3 linked regions of the Tribolium castaneum genome follow. The main gene of each other region encodes a partner of the protein of the gene in region 3 in a complex. Links are inferred from orthologs where the notes say so. Each region holds a gene or a part of one and is shown on either strand. Other genes may lie near its edges.

Region 1 (3,410 bases), on a different chromosome or scaffold from region 3:
ACTCGATTTATTTTCCATTCGTAGAGCCTTATTGGCAATAAAAATATTTTCAAAAATTCATTTCGTTTTGTGTAACTCAAGTCGTATCAGATTTATTGAACGCCTGTATTTGCCACAAGCTTGGCAACCTTAAAGCTCTCAGCTTCGCTTCGAGCTTCAATATTACATAATTATTACCTCTCTCCATCATCCTGATGGCTTCTGCTATATAGGGCACCAGAAGCCTGTTAACAATAAACCCGGGGGTGTCCTTGCAGGTGACGCAGGTCTTGCCCACGGCTTTGCCCCACGCCATAAAGGCCTCGTACGTCTCCTGCGACGTCTCCGGAGTCCTAACAACCTCCAAAAGCTTCATAACGGGCACGGGATTGAAAAAATGCAGCCCCCCGAACCTATCCTTCCTCTTCGTAACGGAGGCAATTTCGGTAATCGAGAGCGAGCTCGTATTTGACGCAAACATGGTTTTGGGGGGCGCGACCTCATCCAAATTTTTGAACAATTTGTGCTTAACATCCATGTTTTCAACAATCGCCTCCACGACCAAATCGCTGTCTTTCACAGCTTCGGCAATGTCGGTGCACCCCTTAATCCGGGCCTGCGATTCGCTCACGAATTTATTAGCGGCTTGCGGGTCATCCTTGTGGAGTTTTTTGGCGACTCGTACCAAGTTTTTCGCAATGCTGTCTTCGGCTTTTTTGATCAAGTCGGGGTTGACTTCCACGATGGTCACGTTGTGGCCGGTTTGCGCGGCCACCTAAGCAAGGGGGCGAATGTTAGGTTAGGTTCGGGTGGTTTGGGGTACACTTACTTGGGCGATGCCTGAGCCCATGAGGCCGCCCCCGATCACAGTTACGTTTTTTATAACTGCGTTCATGGGGCTTGAAGTTGAAAGGCTTCGCTTGATGAACAGGTTTAGGGCCATTTTTTCGCGTTCGGTTACGAGTAAAAAGTGGTGTGTAATGCGGATTTTGTTTGGTTTATTAACGATACAATAACTAGGTGAAAGTCCAAGTTTGTAACCTATGATCGACTCCCACCGCTACGTTTGTGTACTTTTTAATCATTTTATCGTTTATGGCGAGATTAGGGCTCAGAAGTGAAAATCATCGTGCCGATGGTTTAAAAATAATCCGCTTTCGATAACGAGTGCGACTTTTGTACCTGAATTTATTTAGGTATTATGTAATAAAAGTGCAACATCATTCAGTCAAGTGGTACACAGGAGGGTTCCAAAATGGGGCTATATAGCAATCCCTGTTATCAATTTATCCACTTTTTTCAAAGAAATACTTGAAAAAAAATATAATTTTGGGGAAATTTGTGATTATGCAATCAGCAATACACGTGTGAGAGGTTAGTTGCATTCTATAAGTTGTCAAATGTCATAAAAACACCAACTTTTGTAAGAAAAATAATTTATTTCTGATTTAAAAAAGTACACAATTCTCGATTATCAACAATGGTTAATGTAATGAAAGGCGTTTTGGTGACCTGGTAAGGCCCTAACAATTTTTTTGAGTTTTTGTTTGACATAACCTCAATCATGCCAGATAATCCAAATCTCCGGGAATCCCAAACTGCTTATTTAAAACCTTATCTTCCATCATAAACTTCCTTTTGCACCATGATTTGACCGCGAAGATATTATCAGTCCATCGATTTGCTGCTTCTTTTACCGGTTTTATCTCACTTTGCATTAATTTCAAATTTTGAGTATCTGTGTGAGATTTCGACAGAGATTCGAATTTTTCTTTCTGTTTTTCCAGTTTTTCAATTTCCTTCAAAATCTGGCTGTCGTCCCAATTCTCTTTCCCCACCTGCGCTTTTTCCATAGTTTCGTCAATTAATTTCAATTTTTTTGTTGACGATTCTAATTTCGTTTGAAGCTCGTTAAGTTTGCGTTTTTTCGCGTTAAGTAATTTGCTGTAATTAGGATAAAACGTGTTTTTGGCCCGTCTATACCGTTTTTCGGACACTCTCCCAGTTATCTCAGTGATCTCCGTTATTATAAGAGATACGAGGTCGGTTAAATTAGGGCAAAGTTGCGCATTTTTATGCTGAACAATTATTTGAAAAAAAAAATTGTAATTTTCGTTTTTATTTTTTCAAGTGAAAACCAAAAGAACTAGACGTAGGACTTTTTCGGGCACTTTTTACAAGGAATCTAAATTTGTCATCGGATTTTCCTAGGCTTGCTTGATGTCAGAGTTACAACACTTAACTTCGTTTTTTTTATGGGAAAAAAATAAAAACGAAAATCATTTTTTTAAATTTCTCTCAATAATTCAAAAACTAAAAATGGCACATAAAATTTTCTTTCAGAAATTGTTTTGCATACAAATGCACAACTTCTCAAAAAAACGGACACCCTGTATAATATTTACCTGGGAAAAGCCCAAAAGTAGACGGAACTCCCGATCTTATCCTTATCAACAGAACCATCATCCACCAAAGCTTGGACCACTTCTTTCACAGAATTCGCCGTAATTCCTTTCTCCTTTGGCGCAATTATTTCCAATTCATTCATTTGATAAAAATCCCCAGTCTCGTGAAACAATTGCAACATCCTAGCCTTTTTCTCCTCAAAACTTAGACCTTTTTTCTTGAACATTTTCCCCTAAAAAATGCGTTGTTTCAGTGACCAGGCCATGAAACAATTCCTTTTGTATTTAGATGAGACTACAAAACTAGGCCGAAAATTCATAATTCAGGACTTGGATGAAAACCACTTATTTATTTCAGCCGATATTTTAGAGACATTACAGGCAAAAATCGACGATCTGATGGACCAAATTAGCTTCCCAGTCGCCGAAAAAAGCAATTAATTTTTTGTAATTTGCAAAAGTGAGGTTATGTCATATTGATGTGTGGTCATTCGAATTATAAATAAAAAGCGCAGCATTTATATAATGACGTGTTTTGCTATAAATAATATCGTTGCGGGCCGGTTTTCGTCCATACTTACGCAATAAGGCACTAATTAACTGTTTTTTCAAATTGTCGGTACAAATAATACAGTTCCCTGTAAATTGGAAGTGGCTACAATTACGCTTCTTTGATAACCGACTATTCTACAGTTGTTACGCCATCACGAACATTTTTACACACAAATGATAAGAATAGAATTAAGCAATAGATAACGGAAACGTGTCACTAATTATAATTTTTCCCTGATTTAATAGCCGCCGTGACGTAACCACAGCCACATGTCAAACGTCACAATTGACTTCTTTGGTTATGTTCCGTTTGTCAAAGTTATAAAACGAAAAAACGCGTTTCTCGGCCACAAATCATCAAGTGTGTTAAGTTCCGTGTCAGTGCATTTACCCCCATCATGACGGTGCCCACCCCCAGCGAGAAACTCCTCACCAATGGCTCCACCACTCCCAAGCGCCAAAACGGCCAAAAAT
Region 2 (4,253 bases), on a different chromosome or scaffold from region 3:
CGAACTGCTCCTCTTGGTCGCCGATGCGTTTCGATTCGGCGTCCTTGTACGAGCGGTAAAACACAGATCTAAAGCACAAAATAACAAATTATTTTATTTCTACTATATTACTTTTTTTTAATACTCACCGGAAAAATCCCCTTTCGACGGCCGACGCGTTCAAAATAACCGAATCCTCCTGGTTATAACCGGTGTAACACGCAATGGCCACGATGCTGTTAATCCCAGCCGGTAATTCCCTGAATCTGAGATATTCCATTGATCTGGTTGTAACCAACGGTTTGTGGGGGTAATACAGGACGTGGGCAAGGGTGTCCATGCGGACATGGAAGTTGGTGATGTACACACCCATGGCTTGCTTGCCCATAGCACTCTGAGGAAAAAATTAATTACTAAAAAAATTCAAACAACACCAAAACAAATACTTGATATGTGTTTCTGGGACTCTGGTTGTGATCCGGGAAGGGTATAATACTGGCACAAACACCCAAAATCATAGCTGGATGGATCTCACAATGTGTGTAAGTGGTACAATACGCGTATTCCTTCTCCTGTCTCAAATCGTCCGGAGACATCGCAATCATCACAGTCTCCTCTTCCAAAGTATCGATATATTCGACAACCCCTGAAGCCACCAAAACCTGCCACCCGTAGTTATTATATTCCCTCTCTTTCAACATATCAATGTGGCGCTTCTTCAACAATAAAGTCCCATTTTCCACGATTAGTAACGGCCGACAAATCCGTCCAGCATCCGTGTAAATGCGAATCTCCCGGTCCCGAATATCCCGAATCATGGAAACCTCCGACACAATAATATCCATCTGTCTCCTCAACTTGCGTAACGTCGCCATCAACTGTTCGGGGTCCCTGTGAATTCCCACCCAGCAACCATTAACAAAAATCTTGGTCGCGTTGGCTATGGCAGACGGCGCAATCTCCTCCAAATTCTCCATCGACCACTCCTCCAAAAACTCCAAAATTGGAGAGGGTTGCGACCCCACCGAAATATACGCCATGAGGGCCAGATTTTTCACCAGACCAACAGCCGCCCCTTCTGGTGTCTCCGCCGGACAAATCATCCCCCAGAGCGTGTTGTGCAACTGTCGGGGCTTCGCCAACTTCCCGTCACGTCCAATGGGCGAATTAACACGTCTCAAGTGCGACAAAGTCGAGGCAAAAGTCAAACGGTTCAACACCTGCGAGACACCGGCTCTGGCCTGGTGGGCCTTCTTCTGGTCCCCCCAGTTACCAGTCGCCAGAGAATACCTCAACCCGTCCGTAATCAACTTAGTCTTAATGGCCAAGTCGAGGTTAAAGTCTTTGCCCCGATCAATAAATTTCTGGGCATACATCCGTACTTCCTTCATCAAGTTTTTAAACAACCCACGGAACAAAAACGCAAGCAGGGGCCCCGCCAAGTCCAGTCGTTTGTTACCGTAGTGATCCCGATCGTCCAGCTCGCGGCGCCCCAAAGCCGCCAGGAGCAACCGGTGCACCATGTACCCCAAAAAGTAGGCTTTTTTCGTCTCGCAAAAATCGGACACTCCAACGTGGGGCAGCATCTCCTTCTGGAGGATCTCTCGCGCGTATTTGATACGCTTTTCTTTGGTGACGCCCGGCCGGGCCCCCCTGGTCCCAATGAAGTTGAGTGCGATGTTCTGTTCCTGGATCACGAACGCTTCGTCCAGGGACGGTTTCACCATTTCCATCATCTCGGGGTCTTCGAAGTCGTAAATAATGTGCTCGAGGATGTCCCGATCGGCCACGAACCCCAAGGCCCGGAACACGATCATGATGGGGATCTCCTGCTTGATGTAGGGCAAGATCGCGATGATTCGTTGCCCGATGGCGGCCTTTTTGATCGCCTGGCCCCCACGTGCCATCATGTTGACCCAGAGGGTGGACGTGGGGCGCGAGCTGTGCTCGAGACAGGAGCGGATTTCGGATTTGAAGGCGTATTTCCCGTCTTTCATCGAGAAGACGTAGACGGTGTTCGTGGCCATTTTCTCCTGGGCGATTAGGACTTTCTCTGAGCCGTTGATGATGAAGTAGCCGCCGGGGTCAAGGGGGCACTCGTTGAGTTCGGTCAAGTCGCGGTCGGTTAGACCGTTGAGGAGACAGTACGTGGATCGGAGCATAATCGGGATTTTCCCGATGAAGGTTTTCTGGTGCTGGGTCTCAATGGGGTCCTCGCCGTCCTTGACTATGGTCTTGGTGATATCGACGTACAAGGGGGCCGAGTAGGTCAGGTTGCGCAAGCGGGCCTCGTTGGGCATCATGGGCGAGGGGGCGCCGTCTTTCTCCCAATGGGTCGGTTTGGATAGGTAGATCTGCTCGAATTTCAGTAAATACCGAGAGGGGTTTTCAAGCTCGCCGCTTGTGTGCTGTGCCTCGGCTTGGAGGTCGATTTGGGGCGAGTCTTCGACGATTCGTTGCACCGACATTTGGATAAACTCGTCGAAACTGTCCAGTTGTTGCCGGACGAGGCCTTTTTCGTCGAAATAGGCGTTGATGACGATCCAGCAGGCCTCTTGCCACAACTCGGAGCTGATTTCTTCAGACTCTTCATCGTCGAATTGGTCTGAAAAGCCGGTTTTTGTTACAAATGGCTCGGGGGCTACTCAAGGGGGATTGCGTACCTTCGTCTTGTTCATACATTGCTGATTATTTGCAAAAAATGGGGCACAAATGAGACGCACAAAACACAAGTTTTGAGCGTCTGTCAAGTGTCAGTTGACTTTGTATGGGGACCCCAAGAAAACCCTTATTTTGTGAAATAAATTAATATTTTATGTTCGGGGGGTAGCCCCAAACACAATACTTTGGAAAACAAATAAAAAACTTGTTAAATACGGCCCAATTTTTTATTTTCCTGCAATGACCTTGAAGTGTTACGTAACCATACAACAAAAAAGTCTCCAGATTTTCAAGATACGATGTTAAATTACACTATTCGACCAAAAAAATATTTAATAATTATCTGTAATGTGACTTAAAGGTCAGGTAAGTGGTAACAAGTCCAATTTTTTAATTATATTGCGTTTTTGATTTTTTGTGGATTGCACCACGTGACTTCATTATTGGCGCTAAATTTCAAACTCCATGGTAATATATTACTTTTTTATTAGGAACAGTCATATCATTACAATAAATAGCTTAAAACTATCACTACAATCAGACTGTGAGCAAATTTGGCTGGGTTGCTTCCTGAGCGTGCAAAGAAAAATCCGGTCCGTTTTTTACCTGCAAAATACACTCATTTTTTGTCGCCTAATCCATAAACTTACTCTTCTCGTTGGGGTCTTGTACTCCACACTGCTTGTACGCAATTTTCACCTTACGTTTCGTATTAATAAACCCTGGAATGTACAATGTGGGGGTGTCTAAACGCCCACTTGCCAGCAATCGGCTGAAATCCTGCTCTAATCGGTTAGCTAGCGGTCCTTTAAAATGCAGCAAAAGCTGGACGCAAGCGTCGCTGTGCAAAGACTTGGTTTTGCGCGAATCTACGGTCAAAAACCAGTCGGGGATTCCCAGAATTTCGCGCACTTCTTCGATAAACTGCGACAGGACAAAACGTGGGGGCTTTTCGATGTTTGCGTACTTGATTATGTCATAGTCGGGCTCGATATTGGCACAGGCGTAACGTTCGGGACGTCTGTTGGGGCTCATGATGACGATGGAGCGCCCGATTGCCGTGACGTCGCCTTCGAGCGGGAAATTCGCATCGGTGAAGACTTTGCGCTGGAGCCCGATGTCGATGGTCCCCAAACGGGCCGACAGGTCCCCCACGTGGCACCTGAGCGGGTTCTCAGGCCCGCACTCTTGCCGATAAAGATCACCCTGAAACCAGAACATTATATTATAAAATTAAAAAAAAAGCAAAATATACATTGAGGGGGTCGGCCAGTTGGGTGAAATAGGGGTTCCAGATGTAGCCCCCGGCCACACACCGCGTGTTCTGGGTCTTGACGGCCGCGTCCACGCCCACTGGGTTCACGTAAATGGCCCAGTCATGGTCCCTGGTCTGTTCAAAATAGTACCATTAAAAATAAACCACTGGAGACACGTACCACATTCCGGTCGTTTTTCCCAGGATGCCGCAGTTTGACTTCGATCGTGGTGTCACTCTTGCTACCGTCATTGTAAATTAGTTGTTTCTGCAATTGCAAAAATTAGGATTTTTTTGGGTTGAGGAAAAGTGGTACCATTTTTAAATATCCATAAGCGTACCCATCTGGGTGGTGGAA
Region 3 (5,432 bases):
CATTGCAGCAAGAGCAACGCATGGTACAATGTGACAATAATGTCCAGCACCGACCGATGTCAAAGCTTGTCAAGCACTGACAGAGCAACATTAGATAACTTGGATTGCAAATGCAATCTGTAATTAAAATTAGATCAAGACGGAAATGAAATCTGTTTTTTGGGTTGCATCGCCAGATCGTCAGGCTTTTTATTCTATCTGAATTTTATCTGTATATTTAGACTAAATTCGGCGCGATTTTTTGTGTTTTTTTTCCAACAAAGAATATAATATCTGACTCAGGAGGTAAAACGCTAAATATTTAATAAACAGACAAGTAAATAAAAAACCTAAATGAAATACATCGTTCTGGCCTATCTCGGCAACTATTTTTTGCTTATTGTATCGGTAAAATTCAAAAATGGAAATGAAAATTTCTGGATTAAAAAGCAACCTAGAAGATTAAGAAATTGGCTCAAAAGACGTTCATAATTTAACTCAACATTTAACGAGTTGTTTTAAAAAAATATCTTTTGAAATTTGAAGAAAATACTAAATGAAATATAAAAATGTACCTTCTTCGCGTATCGCAGAAAAATTAACGGAAATTAAAACTGCTGAAATACCTGTAGCTATGTACCTATGAATCTTTTTGTTTTTTAAAGATTCACTGTTAATTAGGTAATGTGTAATGTTAGGTAGTTAGACGCAACTTAAGAGATACTCTTAAATGGGCCTACTGTAGACCAATTTTTAATTCGTGATCTTTTTCATGTAAATGAAACAAACATAAAAAAAAACAAAGGTTTATTCAAATTTTAGTTATTATTATAAGTTATTTTTTAAGCAAAGTGAAGTGAAGGTTCGTATCAAAGATATCAATTACCTTGAAAATGTCAACATTAACACTTCTTTCGATAGCCAAAAGAGATAATGAAGACAACCTTTCTTGGCCAATCTTCCTAGTGTTCGTTTTCAACCGCCGCAAGCGAGAAAAAGACCTCTCACAAGATGTTGTGTTTATTGGAATCGCAAAAAATAAACATATAAAGGTCAAAAAGTAGAGGGAACATACTTTTCATAGCCCTTCAACAAAAATGTCGGCTCTTTCTTGGATAATTTTGTTTTTTCATTCTTCCATATTACAAATAATGTTGAGCTGAACAATTTTGGATGGCAATTGCCACCCCCAAATTACGCACTGCCCCAGGTAGTCTTAGCTGGGACAAAATTGTCTCAAAATTGGCGAATTATTCCGAGTTCAGAGCGTTGTAGAGTTCCGTAGCTTAAATGTATGAGAAGACACAAAATGAAGATTTACTTTGAATTGCGTTTTCTTCAAACGCGGGCTAAAAATTTTAGTGTTTATTGTTATTTATGGTGTTCTTAGATGATTGTAGAAAATAATAATTTAAAACTAATTAAAAAATTGTGTAATTTTTTTAGAAAAAATATTTTATTCATTCAACTTGTTTAATTTTTCTTAAAAATGTAACAACAAATTACAAAAACTTAATTTTTTTACACCAAAATAAAGCTATTTTTTAAGAAATCGACAATCGTTTTACATTATTATTCTCAACAATCATCTTCACCATAAATAAGAATAAACACTTAAACTTTTAGTCCGTATTTGAAGAAAACGCAGTGCAAAGAGAAAGTGATCTTCAAACCAAAGTAATGGGGAAGCCCCGAATCTTCATTTGGTTTCTACATTTGGACTACTGAAGCGATTCTTTACTATCTTTACAATGCTCTGAACTCGAAATTCGCAAATTTTGAGACAGCTTGCATTGTAAAACAAAAACCAAAAAACCTCCACACAGCAAGCTAGTAGTTGGCATCACATCCGATTAAAAACTAGAGTTAATTAACAACGATTATTACTACATATTTCTATAATTAGTAATTAATTAAATAATAATATTGCAAAAAAATATATAAAATTCGGTTCAAGGAACAGTCGGCCACAAAAGACAGACAGCGCAAGGCATCGGTCCCCCACCACTTGTCACTTTGACAGCCGTGAATGTCAAATGCAAAAGAAAACAGATGATTATTCCTCAAACAACATAGTTCGTATTATTTATTTATTATTTCTCCAATAAAATGGACCCCGCCTTACTAAAAGAAAGAGAATTATTCAAAAAACGTGCACTTACAACTCCTACGTAAGTAGCATTCGCATTTTGTCAACTTATTCAGTTAATTTTGTTCTACTTTCAGTGTAGAAAGAAAAAAGACTGATTCAAGACCAGAACCAACTCGCGATGATAGCAAAAGGTTTAAGTCTTCTAGTAGTAGCACCCCTAAACTTGATATCAACACGTAAGCAGCAAAACATTGCAAATTTGAATCAATTACTTTGTGATTTTTTTTTAGATACAAAACAGCAACAGGAAGTTCGCAATATCGATTCGGTGTTCTCGCTAAAATCGTGAAACATATGAGGAAGAGACACCAAGAAGGTGAAACATATCCACTCACATTAGAGGAAATTTTAGACGAAACTAATCAATTAGACGTAGGGAATAAAGTCAAGCAAGTAATTTTGTGTCATTATTACAATACTTAAATGTAATGGTGTTGATTTAAGTGGCTGCAAACCGAAGCGTTAGTCGATAATCCTAAAATTGAGGTCACTCCTGACGGAAAATTTTTATTCAAAGCTCCATATAAACTTAAAGACAGGAAAAGCTTACTGAAACTATTGAAACAACAAGATTTGAAAGGGTTAGGCGGTGTGTTGTTAGACGACGTGCAAGAGTCGTTACCACACTGCGAAAAGGCTTTGAAGGTATCATTCTTTTAGTTATTTTCTAAACGAACGACGTACAAATAAAACGTCTCCGACTTCAATATTTTCGGTAATGTCGCCAAAAAGCCCAGTTGACTATTTAAATAACTATTAACACAATTCAAAAAAATACAGGCACATAGAGCATTAAATTTTCAAGAGTAACAACTAAAAATAATGCAAAAATTTCAAACATATTAATTTGCAGTGTGACCCATATTTTTAAAACGCTGTTAATTTGGTTAAAGATACAAGAAAAATGTTAGGAACAAAGTAGTAGAAAAATCAATTTTCTACAAAAAAGTCCGCGACTATTTTTCTTTACAACTTTGTTCTTCACACTTCTTTATACCTTTAAACGTATTCGCTATGTTTTAAAAATTATAACGCGGATTGCAAATTGATAATAAATGTTTATATTTTTTTGCACTTTTAATTTAAATTAAAAACTTAATACAGAAAGAGTCAGAGATTAAGATAGTGGAAACACTTTATTGAAAACAGTGTCAAAAAATCGCATATTTATATATATGAAAACGCTGCGAATTCAACTAAAGATGTGTAAGAAGCATAGATGTAGAGAATTAAATTTCCTACAAAAAAGTCCGCCACATCTTCATTGGTTTAGGTATAAATTAATTTTCCAATACTTGACCATAAAATGAAACGAAACCGCTGTGTGAGCATTTTTAAACATTTTTGGGGCCTAAATAGTTGAAGATGTAGATATGGGGTCGTATGAATAAAGTTGAAGTATTTACTTAAAGTATGAGTATAAAGGAAAAGCATTTGCTCTTGCTTTTACTTCTTTAGTTTTTTGGAGAATCTGCTCTCAAAATAAATCATTGTAGTGAAGTTTTCAATGTTGTAATTTTTAAAATGGATTTCCATCTCCTCCCATTTCGTTGTTCTCACTCAAAAAATACCTAGCCAAAGCACGAAGATTTTTTCGTTCAAACCGATATAAAGTCTTAAAATCTTATCCTATGTGTTCGCGAGGTTGTTTATAAGTTTTTCTTACCCATAGTTGCACAACACCCACCATTGTTTCGAGTTTGAGGTGTTACTTTTAAAAATTGATGCTCCTACTGATTAGCGTCAACAATTTTGAACTAAATCCTCAACGAAAAAAGCATTTACTTTGTTTTATTCATTTTGTTTTGAGTAAAACCTCGACGTTCAAGCAAATACTCGCCCAGTGTGCTTTTACTTTTAGTAAAAACTTATACTTACATTTTTACTCATACAATTTAGAACATTTACTTGCAAAATTTGAAGTAAAAGCATTTACTCAATTGTATTCATACGGCCCTTGGTTTCGCAGATTTTTTAATAGCTATTTATTGTATAAGTGTTTTCGAAAGCATTTTATCCACGCAAGAATGTTTAATATTCTCAAGTGGATAAAATGCGACTAAAACATGAATGCAATACAATGTTTTATCCACAATCGTAAAATTAATCTTGGCAGGCTTTGTCTGGTAGTCATAATTCCTAGTTTATTCCACTAGTGGATAATAGGTCACTATAAGGCTAAAGGGGACGACAGAGTTAAACCAAGTGTGTGGCAAAGACAAGTAGTAATGAAATTTATTTTTCTACTTTTGGCGATATTTGTAATCCAATTTTAAATCGAAAAATGGAATTGACTCTTTTAAATAATTATAATTTGAGACAACGTAAGACTTTGAAAAAAAATTATTTGATATTTTTTTATTAAAAGTTTAAACAAATATTCATAATATTTTTAAAAATGTGTACGGGAAAGATGCACAGTGATGGTACGAACAGAATGCGTCCAAAAAACGAAAAATTTTGTTGTAGTTTTGAACGAATCGCGAATATTCATTTTGACAAAATTTGCCGCCGAGAATCTCCCACAGTCAAGTGCGGGACAAGAGAAAGAGAGGGCAAAAGCAACTAAAGACTAGAAGATGTAAAACACGATATTTCTGTATCCTAGTATTATTCATACAAACAATTATGGTGTTAATTCTATGAACTGAATTTAGTGAAGCATCAACAAAATCTTTTTTTTCACTTTGGAAACAATAGGTCAAATTTTAATTTATTTTTGGTAAAAAAATTATTTTGTCATGAAGATTTCTGATGATAGATTGAGAAAGCTCAGCAAGAAGCAAATAATATCATGTAACATTGAATTCGAATTTTTGTGCTATTAAATTCTTTGAAATACCTCAGACTTTCTCGGAATATGTCGAAACTCTAAGCGAAACATTCTAGGAAAAAGATGAAAGGGATCGAACAAGTCGGCAAAACAAATAGAAATTACTCATAATAATCAACCAGAATTTAGCGTTTGTTTTTAAATGCGTAATTTAAATGGAAATCATCATTTGGGCATCGTTTGTTTTAGAATGACAGTTTGGTTAATTTATGTTTCCATTTCATATTTTAAATTTTAATAATACTATTAATATTTTTAATTCATTAGTAATAATAATTTTATTGTTATGGAATTGTAAAAAAAAATCCAAAAAAACTCATATACATGAAGAAAATAATAAAGCATTTTTTGCAAACGCATATTTCTACGTAAGATTATTAGTTTTTGAGATACAGAAAAAAGTAGCAATTCTAGTTATGTAAAAAAAATTATAAAAGAGACAAAACCAATCATTACTAGATGATTTAT

What was found.
Region 1: TfIIEbeta (region 3) and Tfb5 share a complex: the UniProt entries of both Homo sapiens proteins name them as parts of the TBP-based Pol II pre-initiation complex. The link is inferred for Tribolium castaneum from reciprocal best matches to the Homo sapiens genes GTF2E2 and GTF2H5.
Region 2: TfIIEbeta (region 3) and Polr2B share a complex: the UniProt entries of both Homo sapiens proteins name them as parts of the TBP-based Pol II pre-initiation complex. The link is inferred for Tribolium castaneum from reciprocal best matches to the Homo sapiens genes GTF2E2 and POLR2B.

What each region holds. Positions count from the first base shown.
Region 1 is NC_087399.1:6,497,872-6,501,281, reverse strand, and holds Tfb5 (general transcription factor IIH subunit 5), read left to right. Parts: upstream 1-1,352; 5' UTR 1,353-1,459; coding exon 1,460-1,494; exon of another isoform or gene 1,495-1,541; coding exon of another isoform or gene 1,542-1,923; intron 1,924-2,384; coding exon of another isoform or gene 2,385-2,611; exon of another isoform or gene 2,612-2,617; intron 2,618-2,638; coding exon 2,639-2,825; 3' UTR 2,826-2,910; downstream 2,911-3,410. Other genes in the region: hydroxyacyl-coenzyme A dehydrogenase, mitochondrial, read right to left, coding at 178-754, 809-922; meiotic nuclear division protein 1 homolog, read right to left, coding at 1,542-1,923, 2,385-2,611; heix (ubiA prenyltransferase domain-containing protein 1 homolog), read left to right, coding at 3,335-3,410. UniProt on the Homo sapiens protein: Component of the general transcription and DNA repair factor IIH (TFIIH) core complex, which is involved in general and transcription-coupled nucleotide excision repair (NER) of damaged DNA and, when complexed to CAK, in RNA transcription by RNA polymerase II.
Region 2 is NC_087395.1:24,234,855-24,239,107, forward strand, and holds the start of Polr2B (DNA-directed RNA polymerase II subunit RPB2), read right to left. Parts: upstream 2,801-4,253; 5' UTR 2,662-2,800; coding exon 2,643-2,661; intron 2,585-2,642; coding exon 426-2,584; intron 374-425; coding exon 129-373; intron 69-128; coding exon 1-68. Other genes in the region: uncharacterized protein Rsod, read right to left, coding at 3,146-3,246, 3,291-3,846, 3,896-4,030, 4,077-4,163, 4,212-4,253. UniProt on the Homo sapiens protein: Catalytic core component of RNA polymerase II (Pol II), a DNA-dependent RNA polymerase which synthesizes mRNA precursors and many functional non-coding RNAs using the four ribonucleoside triphosphates as substrates.
Region 3 is NC_087396.1:10,271,005-10,276,436, reverse strand, and holds the start of TfIIEbeta (general transcription factor IIE subunit 2), read left to right. Parts: upstream 1-1,973; 5' UTR 1,974-2,088; coding exon 2,089-2,150; intron 2,151-2,205; coding exon 2,206-2,307; intron 2,308-2,361; coding exon 2,362-2,524; intron 2,525-2,575; coding exon 2,576-2,776; intron 2,777-5,432. UniProt on the Homo sapiens protein: Recruits TFIIH to the initiation complex and stimulates the RNA polymerase II C-terminal domain kinase and DNA-dependent ATPase activities of TFIIH. Both TFIIH and TFIIE are required for promoter clearance by RNA polymerase.